4 linked regions of the Oryzias latipes genome follow. The main gene of each other region encodes a partner of the protein of the gene in region 3 in a complex. Links are inferred from orthologs where the notes say so. Each region holds a gene or a part of one and is shown on either strand. Other genes may lie near its edges.

What was found. The genes of interacting proteins can lie anywhere in the genome.
Region 1: prpf38a (region 3) and zmat2 share a complex: the UniProt entries of both Homo sapiens proteins name them as parts of the spliceosome B complex. The link is inferred for Oryzias latipes from reciprocal best matches to the Homo sapiens genes PRPF38A and ZMAT2.
Region 2: prpf38a (region 3) and WD40 repeat-containing protein SMU1 share a complex: the UniProt entries of both Homo sapiens proteins name them as parts of the spliceosome B complex. The link is inferred for Oryzias latipes from reciprocal best matches to the Homo sapiens genes PRPF38A and SMU1.
Region 4: prpf38a (region 3) and sf3b3 share a complex: the UniProt entries of both Homo sapiens proteins name them as parts of the spliceosome B complex. The link is inferred for Oryzias latipes from reciprocal best matches to the Homo sapiens genes PRPF38A and SF3B3.

Annotation. Positions count from the first base shown.
Region 1 is NC_019872.2:3,288,058-3,292,008, forward strand, and holds the start of zmat2 (zinc finger matrin-type protein 2), read right to left. Parts: upstream 2,801-3,951; 5' UTR 2,730-2,800; coding exon 2,712-2,729; intron 1,324-2,711; coding exon 1,224-1,323; intron 1,139-1,223; coding exon 1,015-1,138; intron 890-1,014; coding exon 816-889; intron 1-815. UniProt on the Homo sapiens protein: Involved in pre-mRNA splicing as a component of the spliceosome.
Region 2 is NC_019868.2:28,087,898-28,092,014, forward strand, and holds the start of WD40 repeat-containing protein SMU1, read left to right. Parts: upstream 1-1,317; 5' UTR 1,318-1,412; coding exon 1,413-1,438; intron 1,439-3,120; coding exon 3,121-3,331; intron 3,332-3,484; coding exon 3,485-3,637; intron 3,638-3,720; coding exon 3,721-3,831; intron 3,832-4,117. UniProt on the Homo sapiens protein: Involved in pre-mRNA splicing as a component of the spliceosome. Regulates alternative splicing of the HSPG2 pre-mRNA. Required for normal accumulation of IK.
Region 3 is NC_019862.2:23,723,324-23,726,346, forward strand, and holds part of prpf38a (pre-mRNA-splicing factor 38A), read right to left. Parts: intron 1,962-3,023; coding exon 1,851-1,961; intron 1,761-1,850; coding exon 1,654-1,760; intron 1-1,653. UniProt on the Homo sapiens protein: Involved in pre-mRNA splicing as a component of the spliceosome.
Region 4 is NC_019864.2:25,095,881-25,100,020, forward strand, and holds the start of sf3b3 (splicing factor 3B subunit 3), read left to right. Parts: upstream 1-1,340; 5' UTR 1,341-1,476; intron 1,477-2,048; 5' UTR 2,049-2,118; coding exon 2,119-2,188; intron 2,189-2,944; coding exon 2,945-3,100; intron 3,101-3,670; coding exon 3,671-3,841; intron 3,842-4,140. UniProt on the Homo sapiens protein: Component of the 17S U2 SnRNP complex of the spliceosome, a large ribonucleoprotein complex that removes introns from transcribed pre-mRNAs.

The DNA.
Region 1 (3,951 bases), on a different chromosome or scaffold from region 3:
CTAAGATCAACCTCTACCAGAGTATGGAGAAGGAAAGGAACTGCTCATGATCCTAAGCATACCACCTCATCAGTGAAGCATGGTGGTGGTATTGTCATGGCGTGGGCATGTATGCCTGCTAATGGAACTGTTCTCTTCTATCTATTGATGATGTGAACGCTGACAAAAGCAGTAGGATGAATTCTGAAGGCTTTTGGGCTCATGATCAGCCAAATGCTTCAGTGGACGGCGCTTCACAGTGCAGATGGACCATGACCCAAAGCAAACTGCAACCGCAACTAAAGGCCTTCTTAAGGGAAAGAAGTGGAATGTTATGCAATGTTTCACTTGCTGAAGACAAAACTGAAGGTAAAATGCCCCAACAACAAGCAGGAACTGAAGACCGATGCATTGGAGGCCTGGCAGAGCATCACCAGGGATGAAACCCAGCGTCTGGAGATGTCTGTGAGTTCCAGACTTCATGCTGGAATTGACTGCAAAGGATTTGCAACCAAGTATTAAAAAGTAAATGTCTGATTTATGATTATTGTTCTGACCATTACTTTTGGTTCCTTAACAAGTGGGAGGCACAGATGCAAACTGTTGTAATTCCTACACAGTTCACCTGATCTGGATGGAAATACCCACAAATTAAAGCTGACAGTCTGCAGTTAAAGCACATCTTGTTCGTTTTATTTCAAATCCATTTTGGTGGCATATAGAGTCAAACATGTTGGAATTGTGTCGCTGTCCCATTATTTATGGACCTGACTGTATAAAATGATCCACGTTACATCTGCGCTCTTGGCCCCTCCCTAAAGCACAGGTGTACTTACGTTTCTTGCCGTTGATGTGATCCAGAAAGTTGATGGAGTCTTTGACCACACAGTCACAAACATTGCAGTAATATCTGAAAAAAAAAATATGTCGGAACCAGAACCCAGACCTGTCCGTTTCTGCTCCACAACTTTTTCTTATTGGTTCAAAGAGTTTCAGTTTTCCATTTTTCCAAACCCAAAGCCGTCAGGAACTCACCCGCCCATCTCCGCCTGAGGGGTGGTCTTGGTGATGACAATAGTTTTCCCCAGTTTGGACTCCAGATCCACTTTGTAGTCTCTGTGCCGCAGGAGCTCCCGCTTGACGGGAGGGACAGGTTTTCCTGAAAGAGCCAACAGGTCATGCGTCAGGGGTGATAAGCGATTGACCCCCAAGGGTCCCCAAAGAACGGAGAGCGCTGCCCTCACCATCCCTGAGCTCCCGCTCGCGCTCCTCGTTCAGCCGCTTCTGAGCGAGATTCTCGTACTCGTCCTTGTCCCATTTCCGCCGGAAGTCGTTCTTGCTGGACTGGAAGACACGAGAAGATGACTCAGAGCGCCTCGATTATCTTCACATCTCAACAAACATTCAGCTGATGAAGACGAGGAGCTTTTACTCCTCCTGACAAAAGAGCAACAGCTTCTCAACTCAACTTCATTGATAAAACTCTAAAACAGAACCACAGAGACACAACAACAGAGAAGGAACAAAAGCAGGAAAGCCTCATGCTTCGTCAGAAGAATGTTTAAATGCAGACGGTGAAGATGCCTGTTGGACTGTCAGAGCTGACGCCTTGTGCACCTTCCAAGCTCAAACAGGAGGAGCTGGCTCTTCCCAGAGGTTCCTCCTGGATCTCTGTCCCTCCAGGGAAAGATATGAGCTTAACCGAGATTCCAAAAGCTCAGAGAGGTATGGATGAACGCACAAATCATGGGGAACGTGTGACCCATGATTTATGCGTGAGCCATGCTGCTGCTCGTATTTAATGGTGTTTGGGAAAAGGGCTGTTCCTACTCCGTGACCCGAGATAAGGGGAGGGCTCAGGCCGAACATCCAGCTGACGGGAAGCATCCATGTTGGATAAACAGATGAGTCCAAAGAGATCCTTCATAATGAACATTAGATTTTTCAGAAATCTCCGTTCAACAGCCTGATCCTGGCTGCAGCTGCAGCCTGAAACTGATCAGCTCTCCAAATGCATGGTGCCGTCAGGCTCCAGGGGGATACGCCTGCTGGTGGAGCTGTGCTTACAGGACAGGAAACCCTAAGTCACTCTAGACCAGTGTTTTTCAACCTTTTTTGAGCCACGGCACACTTTAACCCTGAAAAAGATCCCGCGGCACACCAGCATCCAAAAAAAAAAAAAAAAAGCAGAAATTCATGGTCTGTATTGATCGACAGCTCTTCCCTTTCATTCATATTATCAAAGTAAACATTTTCAACAGGGGTGGGTTTATAAATTTTATAATATAGCAACAGAAACATTGTTTCATATTTGCAAAAACCAAAAAGGACATTATCCTTATTATTACAGTTTCATTTATTATCATCACAGTCGGCTTTACGAAATAAACTTCAAGAGCTTTTATTTTGCCACACCGGAATTCGTTACACCTTTGAATTAGTCCTTTAAAGATAAAAACTAACGGCGGTTGAGTCAAAACGTTTTTGGTACTAATTTTTTTTTTTTTTAAAAAGGGCCGTAAAATTCTGCAAATAAAGTACCCAAGCGTCAGAGCGAGTTAGCCGCTGCTAGTCCGAGGCCGCGCTTCTAACGGCAGCAGCTGATGTCTGTAACGGTTACAGTCAAAACGCCTCCACGGTACCAAATATAAAGTGAAGAATTTTAATCTTGTTTATTGAATTAAACTGTATTACAACAAACAGGGGCAGAGAAATTCTGCTTGGAAACTCACCCCACTGCCGGACGCCATCTTGTTTACCTACGGAAAATACGTCACCGGATGTTGCAGCTCGTCATTGCTAGTTTCCTGTCTAAATTTAGTTCTATCGGTAGAGGAGACATCACGTGATTCCTCAAGGGGGGAGAGCATCGCCATCTTGGTGAGGTCAAATTACTGCTGTAGTGCATGCATGTGAACACATTTCTTGCAAAATACCAGTTCATTTTTCGGGTTTCAACTGCCAAAATCAGAGAAATGAGTCCACGAAGGAGGAAGGCATAACATTTCACAGGTAAGTATTATATATTTTTTTCTTTTAATGCTGCAGGGGCATCATTAATCATACACATGTTTTCATGCATGATGCTGCAGGGCGATTATCAACATGTAGGCATGATGTACGTATAATTTGCTGTCGATATAAATGTAAACTTTATTGTGTTAAACCTGTATACATTATACTAGGCTATTATAGTAATAGAGATTTATACATTTCTGACTCAGTGACTGAAATTTTATTGCAGGTTTCCAATGGATTCAGACTTAAGGAAAAAGTGGGCCTTAGCAATAAAAAGAGCTAACCCAGATGGATCACTGTGGTACCAACTAGTAATACAGTCTGGCTATGTTCAAAACAATTTGAGGAAACAGATTTTGATGAGACTGGCCAGACTGTTAGCTTGAAACCCGACACTAAACCAACTGTGTCACACAAATTTATCACTAACATGAATCAGGAGGTAAATCTATTTCTTTTCTTTGTTTTTTTAAAGGGGAAAATCTGTTGTTGACTTTTGGACTTTTTGTTGACTTATTATTGATTTATTATTATCATTTATTATTATTTACCTATTATTGATTTATTTTTATCATTCAATATTATTATTGACTTACTATTGATTTATTATTATTATTATTTATTGATTCATTATTATTATTATTATTATTATTATTATTATTATTATTATTATTATTATTATTATTATTATTATTGACTTATTTATATATTGTTATTAATTATTATTATTATTGACTTATTATTTATATTTGTTATTTATTATTATTATTGACTTATTATTTATATATTGTTATTATTTATTATTATTATTGACTTATTGTTGGGCTTTTCTAAATAATTTCAATTACATGTCAAAGAGGTCTAAAACTTGGAAATGTTTAAAAATTAAAAACAATGCATTTTTCATTAAAGTTTGAACTTTTAAAGCTGACTGTTTCTCTTATTTAAAAGCAT
Region 2 (4,117 bases), on a different chromosome or scaffold from region 3:
ATCGGAATGAAATCCATTTGAAAGTGTGATTTGATATGACATAAATATTTACTGACACCAAACAAACATTGAAAATTGGGTAAAATATTAATTAAACTTTTTAAGTCTTTTTTTGTTCTAAATATTTACTTTCATCAAAACTTTTTAGGTTTTGCACTTTTTTATAACCTATTGTAAGAGTTTCCTCTTCACCCTTACTGTCAGTTTTATAAATGTTAATTAATGTTTCACACAAAGAGCAGTGAAATGTTTTGCTAGTATTTATGTGTTGTAACATTTTTTTTATTAAAAGTAATGAATCTTTTATCACTTTTTTTTAAAAAATATTACTTTATGATGATTCTGCATTTCCAAGACCAGCGGTGACCCTGTGTGTAGTTCCCTCTTATTTGGTGGATTTAAATCTAGAAGAAGAGGTTATTTTAACAAACTGGAGCCTCATTATTTTTAAAAACATTTGTAATGGCTGAAAGGCTAAAAATAATTTCTCTGATGATAAAAAGTCTTGCTTTTTTGCTATGAGGCAGCCCCATACCATCATACTGCCTCTGCCCAAAGATGTTACCCTGCAGCATTCTGAACGTAGACTTTATTTTGATTCCAGGTTCCAGGGCACTTCACTGCTGAAAGCGTTTAGAGAAGTGTGAGCACTTTTCAGGGGTTGTTCTGCAAACCTTAGGATTTGTAGTAGTTGTCATTCTGGGGTTCATCTCCATCTTTGACTCCTTTCTGTGTGAAACTTGGCTTTCGGTTTGTGGATGAGCTAGAGCTCACCTCAAAAGAAGAGCAACACAAACCGACCACTGCAGCAGATGTATCAATCAAACAAGAGCCAACAACAAAATAAGAGATAACTCAAGACTTTTGGCTTTTTCTCTGAGAGTCTATCCTCAATTCTGCTGCTCAATCCAAAGGTGATTTTTTATTTGGGTAGATGTAAAAAGACACAATGCACTAAAATCAAATGTTCTTCTTTTTGTGTGACAGTTCAGATTTTTGCAATGTAGAATCAAACGTTGTTTATCTAATCAACTGGTTTATTTTCAAGCAATGAAAACGAATAGGCAAACAAAAAAAATAAAGACAAAAAGAATAGATGTATTTCTATACATATGTCAAACATATTTAGGATAAAAAATATGAATTGACTGGATTTTGCAGACGTAAAGATTTTTGATTGGATATTTGTTAAACACTGTTGGTGTTTTTTTAAAGGACAGAGTTAAAATGTGTTCATGAGGATTTAAAAGTCCTTAGTATTCTAACAGCCTCAGAACCGGAAGTGTCTGTGAGCTGTCAAGACAAATTCCATTCAGGCTTTTATTTTGAAGTGCAGTCGCCTCATCCATCACTTCCGTATCTCCTCCTTTGCTGCATGAGTGTTTCTGGCTGCAGGTTTCAGATAAATCATCATGTCTATAGAGGTGGAATCTGCAGAGTGAGTATTTTGTTTAAAATTTCCTAATGTGTTAATTATTATTGGCATAATTTAGCGGCTCATAATTCTATATGTCCTAGCAGTATCGTAGCTGAGGCCTGTTTCATCCTGACTAAAGTGAACTGTCGTTAGCCTCGTGAAGTACCGTAAATGTGGACCATTTAAACTATTTTTTTTGTTCTCTAAATGCACCAGTAAGGCACAGACTGTGCTTATATGTGCGTTACTTATCATTGCTACTTTTGGGCAGCAGGAACTACAACTTGACGATTAAATAAAAGTACTTTTGACGTAAGCTAACGATGCTAATGCTAACTTTGATGCTAATGCGAGGGTCGGCACAACACGGACGAGGATGAAGATGACGTTTAATTTAGGCTCTATTCAGCACAAATGTTTGTATAATTTGATTTTTATAATTTTCTTTTATAATTAAAATGATAAAAAACGTCTTCTGTTAACTAAAACTATTCAGACTATGGACGGTCCGGCTAATTATTAGTCCTAGTTTCGTTCATTAGGGAGTTTAAGATGGAACTTTTTCCTTTATTTGAATATCAATATTATTTATTTCACTGACAAGTGACATGAACTTTTATTCTTTATTTTTTATACAGTAGTTATAAATGTTCAAAATCAAAAGTTACCAAAGTTTTATTTGTGTATTTGTCTGAGAGTTTCATTCATTAATAGATTTCTTCTTTCTGCTGCATTTATAGTAAAATTGTCTAAATATTTTGTGTTATTGTCATACGACAACTAAGTTTTAGAGCCACCATAAAAAATAAACAAATGTTTAACAATAAACTCCAACTTTCCTAAAAATAAATTATAAGAAAGAAGTTGCGTAAAACTATTCAATAAAGTCCTAAATTTACACTAATTGTGTAGCGTAAAATTGATAGAAAGTTTAAATGAAACAAGATAGAAGTGTAAAATGATCAGGAAAAAGTTCAAATTTTATTACTGGTTGAATAATGTCGTAGAACATGTGAGAAATTTACCAAATTCTTTGAGAATAGTTGTTAAATTGTGAGAAAATGTCAACATTTTAAAAGAACAAAGTAGTTAAATTGTGAAAAATCACACCGCTGAATAATTTAAATGAATCTGCTTTTTTTTTTATTGATTTACACCTTTTCTTTACATGAAATTACAACTTTTTTTATGACTGACTTTGACCTTGTCAACGTAGAGCTGGTTAAATCATAGACTTACAATTTTGTTCTCATAAAGTTTTGACCTTTTTCCCCCCATATTTCTGACCATTGTTATTTTTTTTCTTACTGTTGTTTATTTTTTTATTTTTAAGTGTTTTATGTGGCACTGCAGCAAAATCCTAGTCTGTGAAACTGCTTTGTTCAATTGTTGACAATGGCAATAAAAACTCCTTGAATTCTTGTAAATTTTTTTATAACTTTATCCTCATAAGTTTAGTTTTTTTATGATGGTCTGTCATAGACAACAAATCATAGCTCCAATAGTGACGTTTTTGTAAAAACTGCTCAAATACAAAGATATATTTTGCTGCTGTAAAAGCTGCTCCTCATGGAGTTTTAGGCAGTAAAAGTTTGATCCCTAGACGATTGCGTCATTGAACAAGCAAGTTCCTGAAGGCAGCAACTGCTTTTTTGTTTCTGGATGTTTCGAGGGGACTGAACAGCCATTTGTCTTTTCCCCAGCGTGATCCGTCTGATCATGCAGTACTTGAAGGAGAACAATCTGCACCGGACCCTCGCCTCCCTGCAGGAGGAGACCACGGTGTCTCTGAACACGGTGGACAGCATCGAGAGTTTTGTAGCGGACATCAACAGCGGACACTGGGATACCGTCCTGCAGGCCATCCAGTCCCTCAAGCTGCCAGATAAAACCCTGATCGACCTCTATGAGCAGGTGAGCTTGGTGTTTGTGGAGTTCTTTGTCCTGTTCGATATCATCCTGCTTTCTAAAGGAGCACTAAGATGGAACCAAACATCCACTTCATGAAACCAGGTCTGTTCGGACTCACCTGGTCTCCTCTCACGTCTCCTCTTGCTCCTTCCTCAGGTCGTGTTGGAGCTGATAGAGCTGAGAGAGCTCGGCGCGGCGCGTTCCCTCCTCAGACAGACGGACCCCATGATCATGCTGAAGCAGACCCAACCGGAGAGATACATCCACCTGGAGAACCTGCTGGCCCGCTCCTACTTTGATCCCCGAGAGGTGAGGCTGCGAGATTCAAAGAACGCGAGCGCGTTCGTGTTTGTCCGTAACCGGGGACTGATTGGACCGTGCGCTCTATCCAGGCGTATCCTGACGGCAGCAGTAAGGAGAAGCGCCGGGCGGCCATTGCTCAGGCGTTGGCCGGAGAAGTGAGCGTGGTGCCTCCATCCCGTCTCATGGCTCTGCTGGGACAGGTGAGGAACCTGAAAAGCAACTGTTTTCGCCCACTTCCTGACAAGACTTCAACTGTTTACACACGACAAAAATACCCCAGGAAACCGGAGGTTCCTTTGGTGCTGCAATATTTGAAGGACTCTTGAAATTTGTCAAATCGTGTGCTAAATGACAAACCTATAGGCGTTTTCTCTTCTCTAGTTTTGTTTTATTTAAATCTATTGGATTAGAAAAACTTTCTAAATCTCTTTGGACAAAGTAACTGCTCCCCGACACACAATTTAGTGCTTTTGAATCACTTTTCTG
Region 3 (3,023 bases):
GTGTTGAACAACAGTACCTGGCGCGACCGCTAGAGGTCTCCAAAAACACGCAAAAAGATTTAAAACACATTCATAAACACTATAACTTTCACTCATAACAGAACAGACTGACATGAGCTGGAAAAAAAAACTTTTTCCATGGGATTGATATAATATTCTAAATTTTTTACAACAGTTTTGGTATTTTATATTCTTTAAGGAACAATTATCAAAAACCAAAGAAAAAAATAACCAATATATTTAAATCTGTGTAAAGATACTAGTTATAAAGATATTGGTTTCAAGTTTTTGGCAATACTTTGTGTAACCAGATGCTTCAGTATTTAGTAAAATGTTTGTTTTTAATTTTAAAGAGTTTTTTAAATGTCCATCATAAGAGGCAGTTAATATTAGATGTATAGAAGAAATAAAGATGTAAGTACTGACATCTGAGTAGGTTTAGTTGCTGTTGAATTCATTGGTATCGAAGGAAAACCAAAAATTGGGGAGGACAACCAAGTTTACTTGCCTCGGACAACCATTTTTTCCCCCTTATTTCTAACACTGTTGGCCATCCAATCACCTTCACCCTGTTCTTCCGAAATGCAGCAGTAGCTTCAGGAGTGTGTTTTGGATCATTGTTGTGTTGGAAAAGTGCTCCTTGACCAAGTGCATAAAGTGATGGCAGCATCTTCTCCTTTAGTATAGAGCAGTACATTGTTGAGTTCATGATGCCATCAATGAAATGCAGCTCCCCGACACCAGCAGCCCCACATCAGCACACTGCCACCACCATGTTTCACTGTAGGCACCATGCATTTTTCTTTGAAATTCTCACTTCAGCAACACCATAGTTTTAAAACCATTAGTTCCAAAAAGGGGGATCTTTGTCTCATCACTTCAGAGTATTGAGGCCTTTATCTTTTTTAGCTAATTCTAGACGTGCTTTTTTGTGCACGGGCTTTGGGAAAGGCTTCTTTCGTGGACAATAACCATGCGTGCCATTCCTCTGCAGCGTGCGCCGGATGGTGTCACGGGAAACGGTCACTCCAGTTTGGCGTTCTACTGCTTTAGCTAACTGCAGTGAACTACAGTGGCGATTTTCTTCAACCTTTCTCATCAGAAGACGCTCCTGTTCAGATGTTAGCTTCTGTTGACGGCCTGGACGTCTCTGTAAGATGGTTGCACTTCCATCTTTCTTAAATTTTTAGATTACGATCCAAAAAGCCCTTCCCATTTCATGCTGTCTCCGATAGCTACCCATGGAAAAGAAATGTCACAATATCTGAGAAAGGACAGGCTTTTCTTTGGTTAAATGCTCTTTTCTAGCCACCTCTGTGCTGTACACGTCTTAAATGAATCAGTAGACTCACTTGTGGTTGAATGCCTGATAATTAGAATTCTGTAGTCTTAAGTTTGGCTTTTCTCCTAAGACTCTGACTGGGGTGTACTCCTTTTTACAACGTGGGCGTGACCTAATTTGTTAGGTCAAAAAACAAAAACACACGTTTTTGTGTGCAACTTAAAATATCTGGTTTGCAATCAATGGTCCACCTGTGTAGAAAAATGTTAATTCCAAAAGAACACTGAAGGTTTTCGGACAAATGTAGTGGGGTGTCCTCATTTATGCTGAGCACTGTACATGAACGACATAAGATCTGAGACAACACCCACCGTCTGGGTGAGCGGCTGCGTCTGTAACGTGGCGACGGTGAGCGGCGAGGTCTGTCGTTGTCACGGTAACTCCGCCTGTGAGGTTCGGGGGAGTGCAGTCGCTCTGGCTGTGGGCACGGAAAGCAAACACGGAGTTATAACTCCTGCAATGATATTCGGCCAAACCAAGAGATCAACACATCATCAAAGGCCGTTACCTTTTCGTCCTCCTCATCTTCTTCCTCACTGCTTTCCACTTCATCCAGGTCTTCCTCCAAAGCGCTGACCCGAGGGTCCAGCATCTCTGCCTCCTCCAGGACCTGCCTCCTCTGTGACACACAGGAAAGGATACGATGACTTTATGGAGGAAAGGGGTCACTTGTTTGTTTTTACTCAAAAATTCTCAAAGACAAAACTGTTGTTACATCTTTGTTCATTGTTATTTGTTACTGGATTGGCCGTCACGGGACATACGGCATGACACACAAGCGCCATTACTACACATTGAGTCTTCACTTGTTTGGTGAAGAAACGACGAGGTCCAAAGTCCGCAAAGAATTACAAACGGGGACACGATGTATTGCAATGAACCACAAAAATGATGACAACAAAATAATTTATTACAAAATAATAAAGGAAACACATTTCAAAGGTTAGTGCTCGCATTTTAATAGAGAGAAATCAGGCTGGGAAGCGTGAGGTGCAAGTAGCATTGATGTTTATTTTTAATCAATGTTTGATTATTTTATCTTTTAATTTATTGTTTGTGTGTTAGCCTGGGGGCGGTGCTGGCAGTGCAGACTCTTCCTGCCCCTTCGACTGTTCTCCACTTAATGATGTCACAATGTGAGGACCCGCTCGTTTTCGTGGGTTAGGAGGCGCCGGTGCTCAGAATGCAGATTTTTAGAGGAATACCCAGAAATGCGTAAACGGATCAAAACACCGCTTTGGGGTTTATAGTGAGAAATAAACATTACAATACACTTAAAAGCTCAAAAACCTGATTTTGAATGGTGTAAGCCTTTTAATGAAAAACAAAATCCAAATGGTTACGAATATGATTTGAAACCGATTAAAGTAAATATAAAAACACAAAAAAATTCCTCTTTCAGACACATTTCTCGGTAACTGTGTAGAAAAACTATTTGCCCTAATTTCATTTCTATCCAATGCTTTCCCCATGAACTAAAACATAAATTTGAGACAGACTACAGAGCTTTCGGAAAATATAGACACCCCCCCCAAAAAAAACTGGTCCAGTAGCTTCAATAAAATGTATAACTGACAGTTTTTTTCTTTTAAAGATTACAAATTTAAAATGCACTATTTAAAAGATAAAACAAGTATGACATTCTAAATCTACAACTGATAGTTGTACATTACTGTACAAC
Region 4 (4,140 bases), on a different chromosome or scaffold from region 3:
GCCCCATACTAAATGGTCCACGTTTAGGCTTTAGCAGCATGTTTTCTGCTCAAACGTAGAAACAGACCTAAAGCGTCCTCTCAACCGGCCTGTTTTTGCATTTTTACCCTGGAAAGATCCAACCGGTGGCAGAAATCAAATGGAAGTAGTCCATGTTTGAAGCCACTTTATTCTGAGATGCACATGCAGGACGATGGCCTTCGACATCAGCGGCTGACGCCAGAGGAAGAGGGATGCACCTTCATCATCACCCCTCAGAATGAGCCACCTCGACGCTTTGTCTGGTTTAAAGATGCCCTTATCGCGGGGGGGGACTCACCTCGATGCACTGGCGGGGCACGAGCGTCCTCCAGCCGCTCCTCGTGCGCTGATGCTGCTGCTGCTGCTGATGCTGCTCTTCGGGCGTCTAACGGCGCGCTCCCAGCGTGCAGTCACGCCGTCTGAATCTAAATGGCTGAATGTTTCCGGGGAAAAACAAGCTGAGGAATTTCAATAACCCTTGGGTGAAGGAGACAAGGGCTGCTAAACCCGCAACAACTAATGTTTCATGAGGCTAAAGCCTGCTAAGAAAGACACGGGGAAACGGAGGCATTACGGAATGGGTGGGAGGGTGGGAGGGAGGGAGGCAACTGGAGACTGTTCGTTCGTCGGGACGACCCTTTGCTACAAACCGAGAGGCGGCGCGGCTCGGTTTCTTTAAGGGAGAGCAGATTCACACTGAGCCCGGCGGCTGCCACTTTCATCTGCGCGAGCCAAAACTACAACTTCCTGTCTGAGCTTTTCATAATTTAATGTTTGTATTGTCAACAAATTATGCAAAATATCCCTCTGTAGGTTCCCTGAATGCCCGTAATTATAATTAATATTGATATTATTCTTATTATAATAATTTTCATTATGAATGACGGTCATAGTATGATTGGTAGTGGAATAAAAACTCTCAAAAATGAAATACTTAAAAACAACATGACCAAAATAAATACGTTTCACACTTATTCAAATAAACAAAATGTTGGTCAAATCAAAAAAATACATTTAGGAATCACAGCCATGTATCTATCACTGCAACATGCACACGTAGCAACATAGACAATAAAAACAGCTAAAATAAATAATTGTAACATTGGTTTCAAATGCGCTGCTCAACAAATGTCCATTCGTTTCTAAATATTGCATTTGTCCTATTTCCACCCTTTTAAATTTAACATTTGTACGTTTTTTTCACGCTTCACCATACTTGAGTTTTAAGCTATTCGTGGTATTTTAGACTCACTGGTCTTTGTCGACACCTCGTGGACGTTTAACTCATCAACAGCTCTTGATTCTTGTCAGGCATCGGGCGGGCCACCTATATCCATTACGTATCGCAAAGCGAAGGACCCTCCAACGGCTTCTTGTCGTCGGAGCTAAAGAAAAACGTTCTATTTCATGAAGTTAAATCTCTTTGGAATCTGAATCATCTCTTTGAGCCCACTGGTAAAAGTTTCAATTTACAAATCTGCATCACCGTTCAACTTGTTGAGCTTTATATTTTTTTTAATGTGTAAAAAATATCGGTGAAAAAGCTGCACAGCTGTAGATTCATCGGTAAAAGTGGCGCCTTGAATGAATAGGCTCCCCCAAGCTAGCAGACTGAATAATGACTCCTTTCATATTAATTTTTTTCCCTTTAAACCTTTTTTGGGATATCGCAACAGCAATGCTCGAGTTGTATACGCCACAGTCTCGTGGTCGTTAAATAACATATTGTGTAAAATGCTAAAAAGGTAAAGCCTAATGCTATTACAAAATAGCTAGCTAATGTTGGCAGTTGCTGTGAAGTGTGTAAACAAAATATAACCCCTTCCCGTCCTCAAATCCCATACTTCAGTGTTTATTTCTTGTTGTATTTAGACAATTGTTTAAGTTTGATCTGTTTCACCAAGTTCAACGTGCGTCTTTTCCCTGACATTTTACGTGCCTGATACTAAAAGTTGCTTAGTTTGCGTGTCACTTGTCACATCTTTGTGCAGAGTTGGTAAATATACTTTTTAATTTTTTTCCTGTAGCTTTCACCCGGGCTAAGGTTCAGTTAGCCGCTCCAGAAGGTCGTTGTGTAGAAACAACTGACCAGCAATCATGTTTCTGTACAACATCACCCTGCAGCGCGCTACCGGCATCAGCCATGCCATCCATGGAAACTTCTCAGGTGAGCTTCTAGCGGTACTATGACGGCCTTCCACTGCTTTTGTCACTCAAGACCCACACCAATGAAAGCTGTGTTTTAATACGTTCTTTCCATGCTGGACTTACACTAAGAAAATTAAGCTTTAAATTGCATTTCTGAGTATTTCTTTATTCAAATAATTGGGAATTGGTAGCAGACAAAAATGCTACTGGGAAAAGCTTGTAGTAGTATGTAGGTACTATAGTTGCAGACCATAAACTCCTTTCTTCACTCCAAAATGTGCCATTCTCCCCTTAATCCTTTGATGCCTATTGATGCAAATATCCATTAAACCATTTCTTCTCCAAATCTACCTTAAGTAGACCTTAACTTGGCATCTACATGAAAACAAAGACATAAGTTATTTTTTTTCCTTCATTGTCCTAAATAAATTCATTTGTCAAATTATAGTAGTAGGTTTAGGGGCGGGTAAAAGAGCTGGTATATATGCGCTCATGGGGGAGGAGTCAGACCTGAAACTCCTCCCCCATGAGCGCATCTATACCAGCTCTTTTACAGCCAATTCAGAATTGACAATGCCTCTTGGATAAGAGGTGAAACATCTTCTAACTTTAAAGTACAAATGACGGCCTCTAAACCTACTCCTATTATGGAATCGACCTGGATGAATGAGAGTCTTCATAGACACATTTGTCAAATGGTTCAACACAAAGCTGATTGTTTTTTCTTCACAAACGTCTTATCTAATGTCAATACATTTTGTTTTTCATTATTTAGGAACCAAAATGCAGGAGATTGTAGTTTCCAGAGGAAAGATCCTGGAGTTACTGCGCCCAGACGCCAACACGGGGAAAGTGCACACACTCCTCACAATGGAAGTGTTTGGTATTGTGAGATCGCTGATGGCCTTCAGACTCACAGGAGGAACTAAAGGTATGTAACCATCATTATTTAACAATATGTTACAGGTGAAAGATTTGCTGATTTTGCTTTTCCTAAAAGAATGGTCAGAGTTTATTCTAAAAAGGCTTTGGTACTGATTTACAGATTTTTGTATGTGATTCTTTCGCTTAATTTTAATGATGAGGAATAAAATAAGCTTCACTCTCCTCATTGAACTTTATCCTGTAAAATTAGGTGTTTAGGTACCAAAGGATTAGAAAGAAATGTTGCTGCTTATTGAATCACTTGATTTGGTTTGCTTTTGATATTTGTGCTGCTGAAAATGATTTGAAAACTGTTTCTTCTTGTCATTAATTGTGATGTTTCTCAGTAATCTGTCAGTTAACTGTTACTGTTGAAGCTTTGTGTGTGTTTTGCTCTGGTTTGGTTTACTCTGGACAGAGATCTTCCCCCAAATATAAGCTGTCAGTTTTCAGTGACTGTGTTTGATGAAGGTCAAAACTCTTAAGCTAGCAGGAAGCCCTTTTTTCACGTTTACTTTATCCTCATTTTCAAAACAAATTCTCAAAGCGTGTGTTTGGTTAATTTGTTTGTTTGTAGATTATATTGTTGTTGGAAGTGACAGCGGACGCATCGTCATCCTGGAGTATCATCCATCTAAAAACATGTTTGAGAAGATCCACCAGGAAACCTTTGGGAAGAGCGGCTGCAGACGGATCGTCCCGGGACAATACCTGGCTGTAGACCCTAAAGGCAGAGCTGTCATGATAGGTGAGAGTTCTTAGCGTGTCCTTTAAATGCGCATTCTTTCAGTATTCTCTTCTTCACAATTTCAAATGGTTCCATGTGTAATTTTCAAAGAGTAGCAAACACACAGAGTGCAAAAGATCAATTAAAGTGAAGATTTCATACATTTGAAGTAATGAGAGATATTGAAATGAGAGATATTTTTGGTTTTCTCTCTGCTGTTTAATTAATTTAAAATGAATTTGTGCAACTTTTTCAATGAAGCAGGTTCTCTGTAATGATCGATTGAAACTGAACAGAAGGTTGCAAACATAGTTGAAAAA